2 linked regions of the Notamacropus eugenii genome follow. The protein of the gene in region 1 purifies or fractionates together with the protein of each later gene. This does not show direct contact. Links are inferred from orthologs where the notes say so. Each region holds a gene or a part of one and is shown in the gene's direction. Other genes may lie near its edges.

The links.
Region 2: the proteins of LURAP1 (region 1) and CDC42BPB purify together in Homo sapiens (co-immunoprecipitation; 3 studies listed by BioGRID and IntAct, with this or other methods). This does not show direct contact. The link is inferred for Notamacropus eugenii from reciprocal best matches to the Homo sapiens genes LURAP1 and CDC42BPB.

The regions. Positions count from the first base shown.
Region 1 is NC_092873.1:507,293,776-507,301,179, forward strand, and holds the start of LURAP1 (leucine rich adaptor protein 1), read left to right. Parts: upstream 1-4,309; 5' UTR 4,310-4,441; coding exon 4,442-4,645; intron 4,646-7,404. Other genes in the region: POMGNT1 (protein O-linked-mannose beta-1,2-N-acetylglucosaminyltransferase 1), read right to left, coding at 1-58. UniProt on the Homo sapiens protein: Acts as an activator of the canonical NF-kappa-B pathway and drive the production of pro-inflammatory cytokines. Promotes the antigen (Ag)-presenting and priming function of dendritic cells via the canonical NF-kappa-B pathway.
Region 2 is NC_092872.1:350,271,470-350,279,170, forward strand, and holds the start of CDC42BPB (serine/threonine-protein kinase MRCK beta), read left to right. Parts: upstream 1-4,563; 5' UTR 4,564-4,906; coding exon 4,907-5,081; intron 5,082-7,701. UniProt on the Homo sapiens protein: Serine/threonine-protein kinase which is an important downstream effector of CDC42 and plays a role in the regulation of cytoskeleton reorganization and cell migration. Regulates actin cytoskeletal reorganization via phosphorylation of PPP1R12C and MYL9/MLC2.

The DNA.
Region 1 (7,404 bases):
CCCGCTTCTTTCTGGCCCCGAAGGGCTTCCCCGAGGGGCCGGGCTTCCACTCGTCCATGCCCGGAGCGGCCGGGCCCGGGCTCCTCACTAGGGGCTGCTCGGAGCCCCAGTCATTGCACACCTGGCGGCATGGGAGGGGGAGCCTGGAGGGGCGCAGCACTCCCCTCCCAGGCGGCACAGCCTGGCCCAGCAGGGGGGCCCCTCGCGCCCTGAACGTCCCCCCCTTCCAGCTCCCGGCCCCCACCCCCGCCCCCGCGATCGCCCCCCAGCTCCGGCCCCCGCCCCCGCCCGCCTCACGCACTCACGGCCGTCAGGGGGCGCCGCGGAGCGCGCCTAGCGCAGCCCCGGCAGGCTCAGGGCGGGCAGCAGCGGCAGCGGGTGGGCCCGCAGCGAGCCGCCTCCTCCATGCTGCCTCCCGACCCCTCCCCGCCCCGCCCCGCCCCGGCCCGGCCCGTAGCTTCCGGTCTCCGCTGGGTCAGAGGCCGGAGGAGGGAGGGGCTTAAAGGGCCGCGGAGCGGGAGGGGCGGGAGAAGAGGCGGAGGGGGAGGAGCCCCGAGGAGCCGTGAGGGCCCCGGCCCCGCCCCCGGAGCCCCCTGGGGAGGCGGGGATCTGGAGGACTAGCAGACCGAGGTTCCAGGAGGCGAGCGTGGGGAGGGAGAAGTTCCGAGGCCGGCACCCCGGGCAGGCGCATCGTCCTCGGGCGTGGGGGCCTCAGCGGCCCCCCTGAACTGCGCTTTCTAAAGCTTGGGAGGCCTGCTTCCGCAGCCTTGGTGTCCATGGTAACCAAAGGGCCGTAACTGTCCGCTTTTAGATGCCTGATTCGAGCCAGGGTCCCCCACTCTTCACCAAGGGCCCTGCCCGTGGGGTCCGTGACACCCCAAGAGTTAGAACCGTCCAGCCCCCTCCCCCTTTACACGTCCAGAGACAGGGATTCCTGGGAGAACCCTGGGCTTCCCGGGGCGGGAAAGGGAACCAAGTCAAGGTCACCCGCAGTGTCTTAGCTCCCTGTACTTGAGAGGGGAGCACGTGGGAGGCCCAGGGACCGAGAGCGACTTGGCCAAAGCCCCCTAAAGAGCACGTGGATGGAGCGGGTCTTCAAAGCGGGCTTTAAGGACTCCAAGTAGGAACAGGAGGGCAGCGGGGGCAGCCTTGGAGTCAGGGAAGTCCTGGGTTCGAATCCTACTCAGAGTAGGTCGGACAAATCCCTGTTCCTCTCTGAGTCTTTCTTCCATCATCTATAAAATGGAGGTAATACCAAGAATACTTCACCACCTCACTGGGGAGATGCCAGTGTAGGTGCCATGCCCTCCAAACTCTGGAGATGCCACTTATTGGGGTGCTGAGGTAGAAAGGTGAAAAACCAGAGCCCCACTTACTGCCCACCCCCATGGACTTCAGATGCAGGAGATTTCGTTTTCCCATGTGGGAATTTGTTTTGCTCCTAGGATTCTCTCTCTCTCTCTTTTTAAGGGGGTGGAAAGGAGAGGCTTAAGCTATAGTGATGTAAAAAAAGAAGGAAAGAAAGAAAGGGGAGGAGGCACCAAAGCAGGTTAAAACCCAGAAAAGCCCAGGAGGAGGTCCAGAGGGCATCCCAGACCAGCAAGACAGCATCAGCAGCATCCCATGATAGGAATTTCTTATGAAGTCATCAATTTGTTATAGAGATTCATTGTTTCATATACAATCTTCTGTGCCTACAGAATGTTAATTTTAATTGGTATTTGTCAAGCACAGAATGCCAAATATACATATATTTGTATATATATATTTAAATCCAGGGTTACACAATTTTAACAAGCTGGCATCATTTTATAAAATTCTGAAACTTTTTTTTAAAAATTCATTTAACCTCACATTGGTGCCCCCCTAAAGCTTTTTACTCAGTTTGGCTTCTCATCAGAAAGTGAGGGGGTGACTTCCAGTTGGCCCCAAGCACCCATGGGTTCTAGAAGCTGGTAGGGAGGAGCCCGGGGGGAGGAGGGGAAAAGGACTTACTGGATTTTCCTTCCTTCCTTTTTTTTTTAAATTGGAAAGGTTTTTGGAAAGGCCTTTGCAAGCACCAAGATTGGCAGTAACCTGTAAGAGTTTTACAAAATGATGTCTGCTCATGAATGGATTGGAGAAGGGGAAGAACATTGCAATGGGAAAACAAATGGAAGGCTTGAGTAAGTGACGCAGCGTAAAGTTGTGGGTAGGGTTCATAGACCTGCAGCCAGAAATACTTGAGTTCAAATCCCATCTCAGACATTTGCTGTGTGACCTTGGAGGAGTCACTTAACCTCTGTTTCCTTACCCATAAAATGGAGACACAAATAATAGAAGCGTGTGGTCATAAGGTAATTGTGAGGACTCACTAGATAATAAAATATGTGCTTTGTGGATGTTATTGTTATTTGACCAGGCAAGAGGTGATGAGGGCCTGAACTATCCAGGGTCCGCGTGACTTGAGAAAGAGGACTGTTATCTGGAGAGACGTAGAAGGGTATGACCCCTTCCCTCACTGTGCTCTCACCACAGCCTCAAGGACGGTTATTCTTATTTAAAAGATAGTCCAGAGAACTAAAGTGACTTAGCCCAGGCCACACACACAGCAGTCAATGGCAGATGGAACGCTAGATTCCAGATTTGGTGGTACTTTCCTCATTATTTTTAGATCCCCATGGCTTTAGGGGGAAGGGTTTGGGTCCTTGCCCAGTTAATGTCCCCAAGGTCTAATATAGGATACAGGAATCCAGGGGGTATATATTAATATTGTAGATGATAAAGAGGAGGAGGAAGAAGGAAGAGGATGCCACACTTACCACTCCCTTCTCCACCCCCTCTAGGCTGTTGCCTAGCTACTCCCTTCCCTAGGGCCAATTAATTTTTAGGGAGAGAAAACAGGGACAGGAGGGGGTGGGGAATAGGGTTTGGGGGCAGGGAGATTATCAATCTGGGTTCTTTACATCCAGAGGCCCCTTGGAATCAAGTTCAGAATCCCCCAAGGTCTCTAGCCTTGCTCTTGGGAGGAGGAGGGAGGGAAGGGAGTTTCTAGGCTGAAACACAAACTGAGGAATCTTGGATTTTTCCTAATATAGACTCAGATTTTCGAAATGTTCAAATCTGTTTCTGAGAAGGTTAGACTATTCAGTACTTAAGAACAGAGGACTCAGCCCATGAGGATGCCAGAACCCCAGGCTTGGAATCAGAGGCTTGTGGAATCTTCCACCTAGATTTTTGGACCTTTGGGACATAGAACTGAGAATATGAAAGCTGGAAGAGATCTTAGAACATGGAACAGAGAGTGCTATAGTTGAAAGAAACATAAAGAGGTAGAACTGAGAACATAAGACAGATTTAGGAAGGTCCTTAGAAAACAGTGTCAGAACTGGTGATGGGGAGAGGAGAGAATAGCAGAGGTGGGCTTGGAACAGAGAACAGAGGTCAGAGCTTGAAGGGATCCTAGAACAGGGAATGTCAGAGGTGGTTGGGGCTGTAGAACAAGGAATATCAGAGCTGGGAGGGACCTTAGAACAGAGAAAGTTAGAACTAGAACAAACAGAGGTTCTCTAGTACATGCCCTGCCTGTTACCAATAGTAGACCTTTATACTGACATAGATATGTCTTTCCTTTTCTGTTTTTCCTTCCAATTATTTTTCTCCTCAGAGCCTCACTTTGACAACCCAGTGAGCTGGAGGTACCCCAATTATTGTTAGCCTCATTGAGGCAGCTATAATGATGAAAGTGGAGTCAGGAAAACCTGAGTTCCAATTTGGCCTCAGACTTAGCTGTGTGACCCTGGACAAGTCACTTAACGGCTGTTTGCCTCAGTTTCCCCAACTGTAAAATGGGGATAATAACGTTGCCTGAGTTGTGAGGACACTGAGAAGGGATTTGCCCAGGGTCCCACAGCCTCCTGTCCGAGACCCAGGTCTCTCTCCCAACTCCAAGATCAGCACGTTATCCGTACTTCCGCCCATCATTTACAGATGGAGAAGGTGAGCTCTGGAGAGGAGTCGATGGCACACCATCCAGCCGGGAAGCCTCAGTGGCTAGGAGACTAGAACCCGGGTCTGCTGTCTGGGTAGCGCGGGAAAAGAGCATCTGGCCTCTAAAGTAGCTGCGCAGGAGGCCGGGCTCTGCCCTGATATTTGCGGCGCTGTCGGGTCCGCCCCCAGCCCGGGCTTGCAGTTAGTTCCAAGCTAGATTCTGCGGGGTTCGGCTGATCGCAGAGGAAAGGGGGGGAATCTGGAGTCCAGGTCGTCCCCGGCCTCCAGCTCAGGCTCCGCCCCGCTCCGGACCTCATCGGGTTCCGAGATCTGAAACTCCGGAATCTGAAGCTCCACTCTGCGTCGGGGGAAGAGCCAGGAGAAGGGTGGGAGCTAGACGTCCGGGCGGCCCCGCCCCGTAGGGGCAGGGGGGCGGGGGAAGCGAAGCATCCTGGGCCCCTCATGCCCCCTCATGGAGGGGACCCCGGAGTGCTCGGCGCCCGACCTGCGGGAAGTAGAGGGCAAGGTGGGCCGGAAGACTCCCGAGGGGCTGCTCCGCAGCTTGCGGGGCGAGGGAGAGCCCGTCTCCGCGCTGCTGCAGCCTCCCCGAAGGACGCCAGAAGCCGGCCGCGGCCTGGGTCTGGGCGACAAGGTCACGGCGCTAAGGCTGGAGTTGGTGAGTGAGTCCCTCCCTTGGGCCCCCCCGGCCCCCGCCAGTCTCCGTGCCCAGGCGGTCTCTCCGCGCCGAAGGGTTCAATAAAGCTCCTGCCCACAGGGTTAAAGCCTGGCTAGGCGTGAGCTGACCCCAGAGATGGATGGGGCTTTGGGAGACTGGAAGCCTAAGTCTGGTTCAGCCTCCACTCCCAGAGCTGGGGAAAGGACCTTCCGGGGCTTTTTCCCTCGGTCGTCTGGTTCCAGGGTAAAAGGCCAGGTTTGTTTTCTTTTTCCGTGAGCAATGTTGGGGCATACCTTACACCCCAGACAACCCCCACCCCCCCATCCAGCACAGGGACCAAACACCGTCGCTGCCTTGGCCCGGGCTGTAATGCCAACTGTCAGCAGGCTGCAGGACCCTGGACAAGACCCTTCCCTCAGTGGGACCCGGTCTCTTCTGTGCAAAGAAGGTATTGAAAAAAGAAGGGTTCTCGGACTCTTTCCGTCCCATCTCTTATCGGACGACCCCCACACCTTTCACCAAAGACAGGGCTCTAGAGAAGCCACTGCGGCGGTGGTGACGAATCTCCCCAGCCGTCTCCTCTTTCCCGGACCCTGGCAACCTCCCATTCCCCAATGCCCCCTGCGCTAGGGTAAGGAGCCGGGCTCCGAGGAGCCACCGTGGGGATGTGTTTGTGTTGGGCAGAAGGTGCCACACCCCACTCACGTCTTTGCAGGACCCCGGCTCTGCCAAAGACAGAGTCCCCTCTCCCCCTCCCCAGGATCTGAGGGCTCAGAGTGAGAAACAGAGGCAGGTGGAACCTGATGGAGGGGACCCTGAATTGGACGTCAGTGAAAGGTGCTCGGCTGCTATGTGACCTTGGGCAACTCCTTCAATTCAATGAGTCTCATTTTCCACTTTGTAACTTTGCGGGGGGAGGGGGAAGAGACGGGGAGAACAGCGGTTAGGCAAAGGAAAACCTTATTTTGATGATTGCTTATACTGCCTCCTGGTGGCCTCGGGGTAACCCTGGAGTCTCTTCTGAGGGAGCTCTGCTGAGCTGGCCTGGCATATGGGGAGAAGGGAGAGCTCTCAGGCTGGCACTGAGCCACCCAGCACCATGGTGCCTCTAGAGAACTCCCCACCAATCAACAGACTGTAGGTTTGCTGTCCAAGGCCAAGGGCATAGAAGACTGGCCTCTTGCATCACAGGGCTTTCCACTAGAAAAGAGAATTGTTTTCAGCTAAAGGCTGCCTGTGTTGGAATGACCTGGCTCCAGTCTATGATGACATCATGGGATTAATAATAGTTATAGCCCCCATTTCTACAGAAAAGTTTACGAAGCACTTCCCCTCTCTGCCCCTCAAAGAACCAGTTGTTACCCCACCTTACAGATAGGGAAACTGAGGCCCAGAGGTAGAAGGCTGAGGTCACACAGCTAGTGTGAGGCCTAGAAATGCTTGTCCCAGGCTCTTTCCCCTTCGGTGTTAACACTTTCTAACTTCTCCTGCTATCAGCTGAAAGGGGTATTTTCACAACCTTTGAATTTTCATCCCCATGAGGAAGTCTGCTTAATTGGGGTGGGAACTGTGCCCCAAAACCCCAAGTCTGGCATCCCAGGGACCCAGCTGGCTTTGAGACCCAGGTGTCCTGGTGCCTGGCCTCATCTAATCATCTTCTCCTTTCCCCTGGGGTGGGAGAATGGCTAGGGCCTACAATTTTCCATGGATCTGTGACTCCCTAAGCTGTGGACTGCATGGTGGAGGACCCACCTCTCAATGCCTACTCTGTCCCTGACAGGCTGTGAGTACTGGCAACTCTCTTGTCTCCAGGTCTTAGTTTCCTTCCCTGTCTAAGGACCCTGGTGGTCTGACATTCTATTAGGCCCTTTCCAGCTTGGAGACTCTGTGACTTTGGGCACTGGCCCTTTAAAGTTCCCTGTTATCTTCCCAAAATCTGTGTGTGGGAAGGGAGGAGGGCTCTACTCTTCCTGCCTCCATCTGCCAACCCAGCTGTCCCACTCAAGATGGGCTGGCACAGGGTCCTCCTTATGCCCAATCCCCAGCCTTTTTCTCCCTTCCTGATCAGAGCTGGGCCAAGAGTACGAATGTGGCTGCAGAAGGGGCCCCTTGGTGAGCTGGGGTGGGGTGTGGGGGTGGGGAGGTGGGGGGTGGGGCATTTCTCTCCCTTCCCCCCAGGAGTCCTCCCACTCCTGCTCCTGTTGCCTTGGTAACTAGAATCCCTGGATATATTCTAACCCTGGCTGCCAGTGTGGTGTCTAGCCCTGCCCCTTCCAAGCTGAGTGACCTTGAACAAGTCCTGTTCCTCCTGAGGGTCTCAGTTTCCTTTTCTGTAAAATTATAGCCTCAGACAAGGAGGTGATTCCCAAGGTTCCTTGGAGCTTGGACATTCTGTGCTCCCACGTTCTCTGAGAATCCCCAAATGCCTCCAGCAAGGGCTATGGAAGGGAGGAGGGGACTGGGAGTCAGGAAGTGTGGAATCCCTGCTTTTCCCTGCAGCCTGGACTGTGACGTTACTCTCCACCCTTCACCCCCCCCACACATCCATACATATTCATATATTCATACCTATTTTCTGGTTCAGATTACTTTTTCCTTAGAACTAAGGGTTGTTGCCTGGTTCTTAGAAATCTGTAGGGGGAAAAAAACGGCAATCTGTAGGGGCTGTGTTCTCTCTCTGGCAGTTAGGTGGTGCATTGGATAGAGTACCAGGTGTGGAATCAGGAAGACTCATTTTTATGAGTTCAAATCTGGCCTCA
Region 2 (7,701 bases), on another chromosome or scaffold:
GAATTAACATCTACTAAGCACCCACTTTGTATACAGCCTACACTAGGCATGGGGAGAGATATAAATGGTCTTGGTTCTGTAGGAGTTTTTGGTTTAGTGGGGGAATAACACATTTACATAACTACAGTACACAATAATGCAGCATAAAGATGTTAGATGCTAAACAAAGTTTATTATCACTTATGTGGGAGGGGAGAATGAGTGTGGTCATGGAAAGCAACAATCAATTCTGGCACTTGGGGCTGGCTGCACAAAACACTCCCTGGGCAAGATGTGGAAGTCACAGTAGCTCCCCAAAGTGGTAAGAGGTGGCTGCTAGAGAAGTTACTATGGGGGAGGTAAAGACATTTAATCGGATGAAGCCATCCTGGGGGGAGAAGCACCAACTGGTGGATTACTATTTTATTTTTCTTGCTAACTAGGTGCTGGTTGTTTTAATACTCCTGAAAAACAGCAATTGTTTAAATACTGTCAATTGCAGCACCTAGGTGAAAAGCTCTCATCACACTGCCCTAGTTACAGCTCTGGCTTCAGGGGTAAAATCTGAGTCAGTTTTTAAAGGAAGAGTAGGAATTCAATACAAGAGAGGTGCACATGCCAAGCACTGGTAACGGAAGAGACAAAGAAACATAAAGATGGGCTGCTGCTTCATGTTTTCTAGAGAGCAAGGAATAGTATAGTTTGTGTGAAGTTGTTTGTCCTTCATTCTTGAAGTGAACCAATGACATTAGGAGGGGGAGGTCTTGACTTGCAGCTCTGTGCAAAGCCCTCAGCCCCACTCTCTCCTCTGGAGTCATCCAAGTCCAGTGGCAAGACCTAGATGAGGATGATTGGTGAGGGTCCCTGATGCTGTGGGAGACCTTGGCCAAGGTCTTTCCCAGGTCTCAGTTTGTTTGAGGCAAGACCCATTCAGCAGTTGAAGGTTAAGTGGAGTGGGTGGAAAGGAATACCATGAATTAAGGCTTGGAAGAATAGGGTGGTGACAAATTTTAGAGGACCTTGAATGGGAGCAAATTTTCAACTTTATTTTGTAGAAAGAAGACACTGGCATTTTTTGAACAGATGAGTGACACAATAAATCTACACATAAAGAATGTGATTGTATGAAGAGTGAATTGGAGGGGAGTGGAAATAGGAACACCTATTCAGGAGTTCCTGAAATAGTCTATGTAGGTGTAAATAGGGTATTCAGTGGGAAGAGAAGAGTTGGGTAGATATTAGGTGGTGTAGCTGATGAAACACTGGACCTGGAGTCAGAAACATCTGGGTTTAGAACTAGCCTCAGACACATAATAGCCCTGTGAGCCAAGGCAAATCATTTAACCTTTGTTAGTCTGTTTCCCCATCAGTAAAATAGGGATAACAATAGCACTTAATCTACACGGTAGCTGTGAGGATAAGAGATAATATATGCAAAGTACTTGGCAAAGCTCTATATAAATGCTGTTATTTTTATTGTGTAGGTGGTATCTTTAGGTCTTTCAACATACATTTAAATGCTGACTATGATATGTCTGTGCCAGGTATCAGCGATGATTAAAGACATTCTTAGCTCTCAAGGAATTTGTAATCAAATAGTTTGCAATGATTATTAGATTGTATGCAATCTGATATTAAATGTTACTTCCTTTTTGTAACACATGCTTTACAAATACTCTGCTTGGTACTGTCACTAGGACTGGTGAGGACCAGAATCACACAATTCTAGGGTTAAGATCCATGCCACTGAATCCAACGCACACTTGAAGTCCAACACATACCCATGAAAATGTATCAGAGAGGTAGGTGAGTCAACCTCCGTTTTAAGACTCCAGAGAAAGCCCAATGCCTTTCTGGACAGCTCTAATTATTAGGAAGTTTTTTCCTAATAAAAAACGTAAATTTTCCCCTTTTCAGCTTCTGCCCACTCTTCTTGGTTCTTTTCCTTTGAGACCAAAGAGAATAATACATCTAATCCCTCTTCCACAGGACAACCCTTCAAATACTTGACAGCTCTGTCCTTCTTTAGCCTTCTATTCTCCAAGCTACATAACCCCAGTTATTTCAACTAATTCTTACATGACAAGAACCCAATGCCTTTCATGACTGATCAATGTCCTTAAAGATAATACTCCAAATGTGATCTGACCTTGGTGTAGAGGGATCTTTATTCTTGGAAGCTATGACTCTGTCAACATAGACTAAGACTGCTTAAGCTTTCTTGGATGTTGCACCACACTGCTGACACCTACTGAGTGTGCTGTCCATTAAAACCTCTAGATTTTTCATCATTGCTAGCTAACCATGTCTTTCTCCATAGTGTACTTATGAAATTGATTTTTTTTAACCAAAGCATACATTTATTCTAAAATATTTCATTTTATTAGATTCCATCTAATGTACCAGTGACTCCTAGTCTACCACTTTACTTAGACTACAGTCTATTTCTCCCCAGAATCAGCCCAACCAAACTCCCTAACATTTCCTTGGTATTTCAGAAGGATGGGTCACAAAACAACTTAAATAAAGGCCTTTTCCTTTTTGGGACTCAGAGAACTTTATTTCTTTGGTTCAAGCACTTACCACATATTACTTCCATATTCTTACTTATGTGCTTGTTACACTGCTCCTATTACACCGTGAGGTCAATGATGGAAAGGTCTTAGTCAAATGCAAACTTTCCAGTGCTCTCTACACAGTACAGAGCAAAACAAAATGTTTGTTGAATTTGAATGCCTAGAAGAAAAATACACGTGTGTAGATGGGATTTGGACAGAATCATTGCTCTACCATGGAGGTATGTGTTTGTATATTATATAAACACTACAGTTGCTATACATGTGTGAACATATATACATGTACACACAAGCAGAATCACTGTTACACCATGGGGGTAGGTGCATGTAATGCTGATAGGGGCTGGCTGTGCCCTACCTGTGGCAGAGTCTTCAGAGCTTCTATCAGTTTGATCAGCCACAGCTGGACACACTGTACGCTGACTCAGTGTAAGGTGATGTCACTTGGTTCTCTCCCAATACAAAATCAACAATCCGTATCTATACTACAGTTGTAATATGTACACACACACACACAATACACACAATAGTTGTAAAAAAGTATATATATTTGTATGTGTATGCAAACCCACCTACCCATGGAGGACAATGACCCTGTGTACGTATGTATGTTTTATATATATGTACACACTCACCTCATCTCCATAGTGAAAGGATGCTTCTGTGTGCGCATGTGATGTGTGCATACACACATACGTGCATTTAATACACACATATTCACGTCTCCATGGTGGAATGTATGTATGCACGTACATACATACACACACCGTGCATTTTGTGTCCGTACATAACCAGTTACATAGACACACATTACATGCTACATGTGTACCCCCGCCCTCCCTCTCCCTACACGGCGGTACAATGACTTTGTCACGGCCTGGATCGTCTCCGGGCACCGAAGGCCTGTCCTACACCCAACAGTCCTGAGTCCGGCGGGCTTCCAGGGCGGACCCAGAGGTCGTCCCTAGGGAGCCGCCGGCCTGCAGGTGACCCCGGACTCGCCCAGAGGAGGAATGTGCCCACTTATCGGGAGCCAGCGGCGCTGCCCTGCCCTCCGCGCCGCTCCGATAGCGGGGGCCACGCTGGCCCGCCGCACCCGGACACAGGACGCGCCCCGGGGGGGGCATTTTATAGCTCGTCCCTCGCCCCCTGTCCCCTACAAGCCTGGGTGTCCCCCAGCGCCCACGACGGGCCCTTCCCGCTCGGGGCCCCTCTGCCGGAGCCCTCCCGGGAATTCGTTCGCGCCCGTCAAGCACCATTCAAGGACGGAGGGGGGACTGCGGGGTGGCCGAGCCAGGCCGAGCGGCGGGGCCGGGGCCGCCGCCCTCCTCCCGTTTCCTCGGCTCCCACGCGCGGTCAGCGCAATCACGGACCTAGCCCAGGGGAGTCCCGTGCGCGCCCCAGCCCACTTCCACCACCGCCACGCCCGGGAGCCGACAGCGGGCACGCGGGGTGGAGGGGAATGGGGGGGCTGGGATGGGGGTGGGAAGAGCGGAGCTCCGGGCAGGAAAGTCCAGGGAGCCTCGCCCACCCTCCTTCCTCTCCCTTCCCCCCTCCCTTCCCTGTCTCCCGGCCTACGGCAAGCGGCGAAGACCCCGTCCTGGGTGCGCAAAGGCGAAAAAGGACGGGAGCAGAGGGAGGAAAAGTAGGGAGGGGAGGAATTGCGCGGTGAGGTCAGCGTCGCGGAGGGGCCGGGAGGGGCCGGGCGGGGCGGGGCGGGGAGGAGGGGGGCGGCGGCCGGCCCCGGGATTGGTCGGCTGGCAGGCTGGCTGGGAGCTTGCGCCGCGATCCGGCCTGGCTCACGCACCCGGCTCAGGGTGAAGGGGGGGCGGGGAAGGAGGCGGGCAGCTTCGGGTGCTGAGGCGACTGGCGGGCGGGCGGACGGACGGACGGGGACGCATCGCCCGAATCTCCGGAACCCACCGCCACCGGAGGCCGGAGGCCGGGCGGGGTGCGCGTGCGTGGGAGAGACGGCGGCTGCGCGCGCTGAGGGCGCGGGGTTGGTTGTGTGTGTGCTTGTGTGTGTGCGTGAGGAGCGTCGCGGCTGAGCTGGGCAAGGGGCGGCCTGGGGGAGGGCGCCGGCTCATGGCCCCGAGGGGCCAGGGGCCCCAAACCCTTCGCTTCTCGGGAGGAGCCCCGGAAGATGTCGGCTTAGTCGGGAGCGGCCGCCGCCGCCCCCGCGCCGTTGCCCGCTCCGGGACTCCTCGCTGCCCAGTCCCTCCATCGCCGGGGGGCTCGCCCTAACTCCGGGCCGCGGATAGCGGCGGCCTCCGCCTGGCCGGCCTTGCAGGCGGCGGAGCCGAGGCCGCCCCGCGCGCCGCGTCCTGAGCGAGCGAGGGCGTGCGGGCATCATGTCGGCCAAGGTGCGGCTCAAGAAGCTGGAGCAGCTGCTCCTGGACGGGCCGTGGCGCAACGAGAGCTCGCTGAGCGTGGAGGCCCTGCTGGACGTGCTCATCTGCCTCTACACCGAGTGCAGCCAGTCGGCCCTGCGCAGGGACAAGTATGTGGCCGAGTTCCTCGAGTGGGGTGAGTGCGAGCGGCCCCCCCGCGCCGCGCCCTCCCCTTGTGCGCTTGTCCTGGCGTCCCCTTCCTCCCCCGGGCCTCCCTCCTCCACCTCCTTCCGTCCTCCCTCCTTCCCTCCCTCCCTCCTTCCCTTCCTCCCTTCCTCGTTCCCTCCTTTCCTTCCTCCCTTCCTTCCTTCCTCCCTTCCTTCCTCCTTCTCTTCCTTCCTCCCTTCCTCTCTTCCTTCCTTCCTCCCTCCCTTCTTCCCTCCCTCCTTCCTTCCCCCCCTCTTCCCTCCCTTCTTCCTTCCCTTTCTTCCTCCCTCCCTTCCTTCCTCCCTCCCTCCCTTCCTTCTTTCCTCCCTCCCTCCCTTCCTCTTTCCTTCTTTCCCTCCTTCCTTCCTTCTCTTTGCCCCCTTTTTCCCACTCTCCTGCCTCTTATCTTGCACCTTAGATCCCCATTTTTTCCTTTTAATTCTCTGCTCCCGATCCACTCCAGACCTCCTTGGCCTTCACTCTCTTTCCCCCGTTCCCTCTTGGAGGGCTGCATCTCCTGCCATGTCCCTGATTCCCCTAATAGCACTCACTATGTACAGCTTCCTAGATCAGCCCCTAGGATATCATATCCTGCCGAGCTCGCTGGGATATCCGCTCCTCACCACCCCCACCCCTTTGGCAGCCAAACTTAACCCTTGGTCTCTGGTGCACTGCCCATGAGAGGAGTCCATAAGCTGCATTCTAGGATGTGTAACACACATTAAGTGCTGAGAGAGGGGGAGAGGAATGTGTGGAAGGGAGGGGAAGGTAGAAGGTAGACCTAGACTTTGCCCTTCTACCCTATTATCCACTTCTGGTTTCTGTCCCACTCCTCCCTTCCCAATTTCCTGTTACTTGGGGCCTAGCATCTGTTGATCTGTCAAAGGCTAGGGACACCTCCATGACCACTGTTCAGATGATTTTTCAGTGTTGTCTTTCCAATACCAACTCCAGAGGTGTTGCATTTTTATGTCCACTAATATCTTTGCCGATGAGATTATTTTCAACGTGATGGCGATGTGTTTGTGATGATATTATTTGGAGGTAGCCGGAAATCCAAACTGTGGGACAATAGACTTTTTCTCCCTTTCCTGTTGGTAGAGGCTCATCGTGCTTTAGGCAGTCCTCCAAATGATGCTTGAATAAATATCTCTAAAGATCTATTAGGAGAAAAGTCTGAACAAATTAAAAAAAACTTTAAAAAAGCAGTTCTTGTGAAATAGTAGGTAGAACTTTGCATGTTAGGTGATTAAACCCTTTTCTACCTAAAAGGCAGCCTGGTGTAGTGGGCATAGTACTGAACTCCAGGGAGGAGGACCCAGGTTTGAGTTTTGTCCTTTGATACTGTCTGCTGACCCTGGGCAAATCACCTTTCTGTTCTAGGCAACTCTAAGAGAAGGTACTAACCTGCATTGACAGAGGGAATTTCTTCATCTGGGAGTTCTCAAACTCCATTCTTATCCCTGTAGATTACCTAGTGTAAGGGCTTTGGTGTTCTTCCATACAAAGCAGTAGGAAGGCAGAGTAAAAATATCCCAAATCATGGAATTACAGATTTAGATTGCACCTTATTTTAAGTTCCACATTCTTTAGGTCAGTACCTTGTGAAAATCTCATAGGTTCTCAATACTTGTCTTCTTATTTCAGATATCACTGATTAGGTTCTGCCAAGTATTTATAATCATTGGAACTCAGTAAATGTGAATTATTGTATTCTTGATTAAAGACTTAAGCTATTTATGCTACATTGAAAAAAAACAAACCCACTTTTGGGTAACCAAATTTTTTTTTTAAATGTTGAATTATTTTGAGACAATTTTTCTTCTCCTTGGTAAAATGTTAAGATCACGGAAAATCAACGAGAAAATGATGCACTGAAAAAGTTGCTGGTTCTGTTCAATTTCTTTGGGTGCCACCATTCTTTGTTACATGCGATATTAACGAATTGGTTTCATTTCCTTTGATCCCCTTTTCAGGGTCAATAGTACAATGTACAATTGAATTATTAACCAATGTTACATCTGCTTTTAAAAGGGATGGTTTGAGGCTTTATATTTACTTATTTTCTAAATACTGTGGCTTCCATTCTTCCTTTATCAACCACTTGATTTTGAAAGGCCAGGACAAGATTACAAGTTAAGGGATGAGAGTAAGGCATCAGTTGTTGGATGATATAGAATTGATCTGTTAGGTTTAGTAGAATGAGCAACCTGATAGCTGTATGGTCGTCATTCTTAAGATTGGGTAACTTTTATATTGGTATTCATTGTGCAGTTGAACTGACAAATAATTTAGGTTCCAGCTCTCTGTAGCTCATTTGTGACTCGTCACTGTAAATTGTAAGTGGACTTGAATAGGAAAACAAAACTGTTAAATGTGTGATACTGAAATTGGTAAATTTTAACTCTTAATGGTATAATCATTATACATTATAGTAGGGGTCTTCATGTAATTATGTAACTTTGTATAAGTTATCGTTAGGGACAAAGTATAGTAAAACATTTTGGATTTATGTAGCATCTTCATTCCAAAGAACTTCACACTTTTCCAAAATTGGAAAGGGATGTAGATAAAATTTTAGTCTTTGTTACCATGTTTGTTCTGTACTA